2 linked regions of the Mus musculus genome follow. The protein of the gene in region 1 purifies or fractionates together with the protein of each later gene. This does not show direct contact. Links are inferred from orthologs where the notes say so. Each region holds a gene or a part of one and is shown in the gene's direction. Other genes may lie near its edges.

Region 1 (3,650 bases):
GCATATGTGTGTGTATGTATGTGTGTATATATATATGTATGTATATATATTGCATGTACCACGTGCATGCATGGTGCCCACAGGCCAGAAGAGGACATCAGATCCCTTGGTATTGGAGTTACGGATGGTTGTGAGCCTCCACAAGTGCTCTTACATTGGGTTATGTGTAATAGCAGCAAACGCTGTTTTTTTTTTTCTTTTCCAACTTTATTAGGTATTTTCTTCATTTATATTTCAAATGCTATCCCGAAAGTCCCCTATACCCTCCTCCCACCCTGCTCCCCTACCCACCCACTCCCACTTCTTGGCCATGGTGTTCCCCTGTACTGGGGCATATAAAGTTTGCAAGGCCAAGGGGCCTCTCTTCCCAGTGATGGCCGACTAGGCCATCTTCTGTTACATATGCAGCAAATGCTCTTAACCACTGAGATGTCTCTCTAGACGAAGATAGTCATTTTTAAAATAGGCTTGGATTGTTCCCATTCAAGGACAGCCTGACTGTGGGGCTTCTGGGGCCTTTAGCTCTTGGACATCCAACCATAGAGACTGTCCTGATGAACCCCACAGATTTTGTGGTGTGTGGGAAGTCTCTCTTGGCTGAGGATAGCCATAGAGCAGAGCCTCCAGGCAGAGCCCCTCAGGGTCGCCTGCCATCCTTGACCAGAGGGACCAAGCTCTTTGCCTTATGTTCCCAGATGAGCGATGTCGAAGCTGGTGGTGCCACCGTCTTTCCTGACTTGGGAGCTGCTATTTGGCCCAAGAAGGTAAGTGTGACTCTTCAGGGTCACACGTTGATGCAGGCCTCAGACCTTGTCCCTGTCCCCCAGTGCTATTGACTGTCAATGTGATGTACCTTAATTCCTTCCCACCTGCACCCTGAACTTCTACCCAGGGAGAAGGGATGGTAAGGAAGACCCTTCAGGGCAGGTAGTTTCTAAACTTCCTTCCATTTGAAGGATAGGTACTTTTTAAGAACTTAGTTTTCGGAGTCCCAGAGCCCCATCTCCCAAACACAGGAAAGGAGGGACATTCTGTCAAAGGGTGAGGGGTTCTTGGAGCATGTCCTTGTGAGTAATCTTTAGGGTGTGCTCTGACAGCTCATCTCTTTCGCAGGGCACAGCTGTATTCTGGTACAACCTTCTTCGCAGTGGGGAAGGTGATTATCGGACGAGACATGCAGCCTGCCCTGTGCTTGTGGGCTGCAAGTGGGGTGAGTGGCTTGAGGGGTAGTGTGGATAGTGCCTCAACCTGGTATTTGATGGTTGGCCTTAGGCGCAGAAGCGGAGACGACAGCTAACTGCGTTCAGTTCTGTTCATCACAAAAGGTTTTCTCTGGCTTGTACCACCCAGCCAGAGCTCCTGCAGTTGTCTGCTGACACTCAGAGATGCTCAGAGAGCTGAGGCAGCCCGGGCTGCATGAGCACCATAGGTCCAGTGTAGTCTCTGGCAAGGGTTTTAGGGGAGCGTAGCTGGGAGGTGTCTGTCCAGGGCAAGCAAGACTTGTGTGGCTATAACCAGCATCTTAGGTAGCAGGGTGGGAGACTGACTGTCCTTGTCACCTGAAGAAGGACAGGTCTGAGATGAGACTGGAGCCAAGAGGTGAGACTGGAGGTTGGGACCAGACCAGAGAAGATGAATATTAGCCTCATCCTTTAAGTTGCTGTGGAGAACTAGAAACGGCCTAGAACGTGACAGGAAGGGACCACATGCGTTTAGAACTCTTGGAGTTTGGGCGATAAATAGTGATTGGCTCACAGAAAAGGTAAAATAAACAAATGAAAATTTGGTCGTTGCCGATTCAGGAGGAGAAAGACCAGTGTAAGTCTAATCTACTAGGTGTCGAAAGCATAGCACAGATAGTCTACATGTGAGCACTGTGAGTTAATAAGAACTAAAGTTTATCATTTCGCTACATATGCTATTAGTCTTAAGTCTTCTAGACAGTTTGTTTAGTTAAGTACAGGTATTAAATTGTATTTTAAAATCTGTCTTTAGTAGTGCATTACTTTTAAAAATGTGTGTGTGTGTGTGTGTGTGTGTGTGTGTGTGTTTGTGTGTGTGTGTGTTTGTGTAAGTGCCATGGCATGTGTGTGAGGGACAGAGGACAATTTGAAACACTGGTTTCCCTCCTTCCATGATGTGGGCTCTGGGGTTTAAGCTCAGATGGAGCTTATAACAGGAGCTATATCATCTGCTCTGCATTACTTTTGTATCCCTTGAGAGAGCCCATGTTTGAGGAACACTCATGGTCCATGCCTGTGACATGGCAGGGACAGTGTTTCAGCTGGGGTGCCCACAGCACTAAGATTCTGTCTTGTGGCTCACAGGGCCTGAGGCTCATGGCCAAACCCTGCCCAGTGCTGACAGGTTCCTGTCCCTCACCTCTCAGTTTCTACTTGTCCCTGTCCCAGCTTCTTGAGGTCCTTCACACTTACCAGAGTGGCTCCTGCCTTTGGAGACTTTCTCAGCTCACTTTCTGCGTTTACTCCACTTGGAGTGGCAGCCGTATGGTATACCCGCCTTCTTTCTGGGATAACTTCTGTTGGCTTCCTGTTCTGTTTCAGTACTGCTCTCATCCCTAACATCATGAGATGCTCTTTGGCTTTGTTCCCATGGTAACTTACATACACCCACCGAATCACTGGTTGGCTTCTGCACCATTATCTGTGTGCTCATGTATTTTCATCAGCACGTGAGCAGCTTGAAGCCTGAGGCCGTGTGGCACTGGAGTGTTACCCACAGAGCACAGGGCAGTGGTCATCATGGAGGAAGCATTCGTTTTGGCTGCTTGCTGAACTGATAGGTGGGATGGTCATGTACTTGCTTTCTGTTCACAGTCTCCAACAAGTGGTTCCATGAGCGAGGACAGGAGTTCTTAAGACCTTGTGGAACAACGGAAGTTGATTGACGTCCTTTTCTCTCCGCTCCTCCCTGGCCCATAGTCCAAATCATCTTCAAGTTCAACATGACAGCTTCCTTTTTATGTCCCAGCTCCTGTCAGGCAGGTCATTGGAGGAGCCAGTGTTTGACTGAATTGAGAGAGTATATCCTGAGCCTAGTCCTGGGTGACCTGGGCCCCAGACTCTGACCAGCTTACACCTGCCCTGGCTCTGGGGGTGTCTTGGCATGGCTGCGGTAGAGCCAGACTATAGCACCCGGCACGGTGCCTTTGTACCTCAGATATTTCAGGTAGAAGATGTCTCAGTGAAACCAAAGTTCTGATGCTGTTTACATGTGTGTTTTTATCACATTTCTATTTGTTGTGGCTTTAACCAAAAAATAAAAATGTTCCTGCCAGAAGCCTTAAATAGCCTTATTTTGGAGTGTTTTGGTTTTGTTGTTATTCTTGTTTGGTATTGTTTGTATTGTTTGGTATTGTTTCCAGGAACTGGGCCTGGCTTGGCTTAAAATGCCTGCCACAGCTAGGCGTGATGGCACATGCCTTTTATCCCAGCACTCGGGAGGCAGAGGCAGGCGGATTTCTGAGTTCAAGGCCAGCCTGGTCTACAGAGTGAGTTCCAGGACAGCCAGGGCTACACAGAGAATCCTGTCTTGAAAAACCAAAAAAAAAAAAGAGTGCCTGTCACACGAACATGGACCTGAATTCTGATATCCAGCAAGTACATAAAACTCAGGGCCTGACAGTGCCT
Region 2 (3,650 bases), about 41 Mb from region 1:
TAGACATTCTGATTCCTTCCTAGTGAGGGTGAGGGGCAGGACACAGACAGACAGACAGAGGGCTCAAAGAAGGATTGTGGGAGTGGTCTAAAATGAGGGGATATGTTACCCCCATTGCCCCTGAACTGCTTTTCTCTGTTCTTCAGGGTTCTCCTGGTGAACAAGGCCCCTCTGGAGCTTCAGGTCCTGCAGGCCCCCGGGTAAGTTGCATCTTCCATTACTTCTTCCTGGGTTCCTCCCTGTCTTGGTTACTTTCAGATATCCCTCTGTTCTCCAGAGAAGAGTTCAGAGACCAGACAGGGGGTGGGGAGAAAAAGAAGCTTGGTCTTACAGAACCTTTGACCTTCCCACCCGTGCCCCCTTGCAAACCTGGCCATAGGAACTAGTTGAGGGCACCCTCTGAGAGACAGAAGCAGAGACTGGGCGGAGCCAGCAGTGGGGGGAGGGGAAACACTTCTGAGCCGGAGTTTGGGGGCTGCCTTGAGTTTCTAGCCACTTTTTCTAACCATCTCTCTATCCCTAGGGTCCCCCTGGCTCTGCTGGTTCTCCTGGCAAAGACGGACTCAACGGTCTCCCTGGCCCCATTGGTCCCCCTGGTCCTCGAGGTCGCACTGGTGACAGCGGCCCTGCTGTATGTAGCCCCACATCCTCTGCCTCATGACCCTCCCCCAAGAAGACTTGAATACCTGGAAACCTTGATCTCCTTCCTCTACACAGGGTCCCCCCGGCCCTCCTGGACCCCCTGGCCCTCCTGGACCTCCCAGTGGCGGTTATGACTTCAGCTTCCTGCCTCAGCCACCTCAAGAGAAGTCTCAAGATGGTGGCCGCTACTACCGGGCCGATGATGCTAACGTGGTTCGTGACCGTGACCTTGAGGTGGACACCACCCTCAAGAGCCTGAGTCAGCAGATTGAGAACATCCGCAGCCCCGAAGGCAGCCGCAAGAACCCTGCCCGCACATGCCGCGACCTCAAGATGTGCCACTCTGACTGGAAGAGCGGTAAGGATTAACCCCAGCCACCTCCCCCCCCCCCTTTAGCCTACCATGCTGCTTCCCCCATGTTTTCATACATTCCACTTTCCATATGGTGCTGGCTGCCTACTCCTCCTGACTGCTTTGCCTTGCCCACTTCAGGAGAGTACTGGATCGACCCTAACCAAGGCTGCAACCTGGACGCCATCAAGGTCTACTGCAACATGGAGACAGGTCAGACCTGTGTGTTCCCTACTCAGCCGTCTGTGCCTCAGAAGAACTGGTACATCAGCCCGAACCCCAAGGAAAAGAAGCACGTCTGGTTTGGAGAGAGCATGACCGATGGATTCCCGGTACGTGAGCTGAACCCCAGAGCAACTCTACAGGAGATGGGTTAGCCTCTTATCCAGAAAGCACAGGAAGTCCTGGAGTGGATTTAATCTGCTTAGTGGAAGGGCAGATACAGATCTAGGATACAGGAGTTCTGGGTAGGAAAGCCAGGGACGAGAAGGTCCACGTGATCGCTCATTCTCTCCTCTCTCTGGCCCGTGCAGTTCGAGTACGGAAGCGAGGGCTCCGACCCCGCCGATGTCGCTATCCAGCTGACCTTCCTGCGCCTAATGTCCACCGAGGCCTCCCAGAACATCACCTATCACTGCAAGAACAGCGTAGCCTACATGGACCAGCAGACTGGCAACCTCAAGAAGGCCCTGCTCCTCCAGGGATCCAACGAGATCGAGCTCAGAGGCGAAGGCAACAGTCGCTTCACCTACAGCACCCTTGTGGACGGCTGCACGGTGAGTCCCCCAGACTGGGTCCAGCCTGTCTCTTTGGGCATCTGGTTTAGCCTTCTGGCAGAACAGAGTGAGCCTCACTTCATTCCTACCTTGGTAATGACCCTCTCCCGCTGTCTTCATTCACACCAGAGTCACACCGGAACTTGGGGCAAGACAGTCATCGAATACAAAACCACCAAGACCTCCCGCCTGCCCATCATCGATGTGGCTCCCTTGGACATTGGTGCCCCAGACCAGGAATTCGGACTAGACATTGGCCCTGCCTGCTTCGTGTAAACTCCCTCCACCCCAATCTGGTTCCCTCCCACCCAGCCCACTTTTCCCCAACCCTGGAAACAGACGAACAACCCAAACTCAATTTCCCCCAAAAGCCAAAAATATGGGAGATAATTTCACATGGACTTTGGAAAACATTTTTTTTCCTTTGCATTCACCTTTCAAACTTAGTTTTTACCTTTGACCAACTGAACGTGACCAAAAACCAAAAGTGCATTCAACCTTACCAAAAAAGAAAAAAAAAAAAAGAATAAATAAATAACTTTTTAAAAAAGGAAGCTTGGTCCTCTTGCTTGAAGACCTATGTGGGTATAAGTCCCTTCCTGCCCACTTGGCTTATGATACCCTAATGCTGCCTTTTCTGCTCCTTTCTCCACCCCCTCTTGGGGCCTCTCCTCCATTGCTCCCCAAATTTAAGTCTCCCCCAAGACACAGGAAATAATGCATTGTCTGCCCAGCAAACAAAGGCAATGCTGAAATGTCCCACCAGCCCCTCAACCCCGTCTACTTCCCTACCCAGCACCCTCAAATCCTGCTGGGACATGGGGTTCTTGGACTGTTGAAGGAACCTAACCATCTGGCATCTCCATGGCCTCTGCAACAAACCCCCCACTTTTTTCTCTCCCCCCCCCCCCAGGGAGGGCCTGTGCTTTGGGCAGCCACCTGCCCCTCTCAGGGGTTTGGAGCCAGGCAGGGTCACAGCAGACTGGAAACATCGGACATGCATGTGCAGGCTGGGTGGGAGAGACCGTTCTATTCCTCAGTGCAATTGTGTTGCTGAAAGACTACCTCGTTCTTGTCTTTGTGTGTCACCGGGGCAACTGTGTGGGGGCGGGGATGGGGGCAGGGTGGCAGCACGCCCAGTTTGGTATCAAAGGTGCTACATCTCTGTGAAGGGGTGGGGTGGGAAGGAATTTCTGGTGCTATAGAAGCTGAGATGCTCCCTAGACCAGCAAATGTTTCTTTTGTTCAAAGTATTTTTTATTCTTTTTTTTTTTTTTTTTAATGGATAGGGACTTGTGTGAATTGTTGGGGTTTTTTTTTTTTTTTTTTTTGGTTTTGTTTTTTTTTGTTTTGTTTTGTTTTTTTTCCTGAAGGTGCTATTTAACAAGGGAGAAGAGAGTGCGGGGACTTCACCCTGCCCACTCTCTACTCTCTCTCCACTCTTCTAGTTCCTGGGCCTATCTGATCTCTCTCTTTCTTCTGAAACCCTCCCCTCTTGCTGCTGCTCCCTCCCCTCTGCCTCTCTCTTGGTCTGTCCTGCATCAGGGTTTCAGAGCACCACTTTCCAAAGCACAAAACAGTTTTTACCCCTGGGCTGGGAGGAAACAAGAGACTCTGTACCTATTTTGTATGTGTATAATAATTTGAGATGTTTTTAATTATTTTGATTGCTGGAATAAAGCATGTGGAAATGACCCAATGCATGTGCAGTGGCCTCTGAATTTCCTTCCTGGGACGTGGGGAGGTGGGGATCCAGGGACAGGGCTCTGGGATGGGGGACTTGCCTTCTACCCCTGCCCTTTCTCTCTCCCTCACTTCTCATCCAGATATTGCCACCTTCCTCTCTTGCCTGTCTTATGCCTTAGACCTTTTTTCTTGCC

Evidence for each region. Proteins that work in one complex are often made in the same cells at the same time.
Region 2: the proteins of P4ha2 (region 1) and Col1a1 purify together in Homo sapiens (co-immunoprecipitation; 3 studies listed by BioGRID and IntAct, counting the BioPlex papers as one, with this or other methods). This does not show direct contact. The link is inferred for Mus musculus from reciprocal best matches to the Homo sapiens genes P4HA2 and COL1A1.

What each region holds. Positions count from the first base shown.
Region 1 is NC_000077.6:54,128,353-54,132,002, forward strand, and holds the end of P4ha2 (prolyl 4-hydroxylase subunit alpha-2 isoform 1 precursor), read left to right. Parts: intron 1-695; coding exon 696-764; intron 765-1,113; coding exon 1,114-1,210; intron 1,211-2,837; coding exon 2,838-2,908; 3' UTR 2,909-3,315; downstream 3,316-3,650. UniProt on the Homo sapiens protein: Catalyzes the post-translational formation of 4-hydroxyproline in -Xaa-Pro-Gly- sequences in collagens and other proteins.
Region 2 is NC_000077.6:94,949,574-94,953,223, forward strand, and holds the end of Col1a1 (collagen alpha-1(I) chain preproprotein), read left to right. Parts: intron 1-146; coding exon 147-200; intron 201-523; coding exon 524-631; intron 632-717; coding exon 718-1,000; intron 1,001-1,135; coding exon 1,136-1,326; intron 1,327-1,527; coding exon 1,528-1,770; intron 1,771-1,899; coding exon 1,900-2,046; 3' UTR 2,047-3,469; downstream 3,470-3,650. UniProt on the Homo sapiens protein: Type I collagen is a member of group I collagen (fibrillar forming collagen).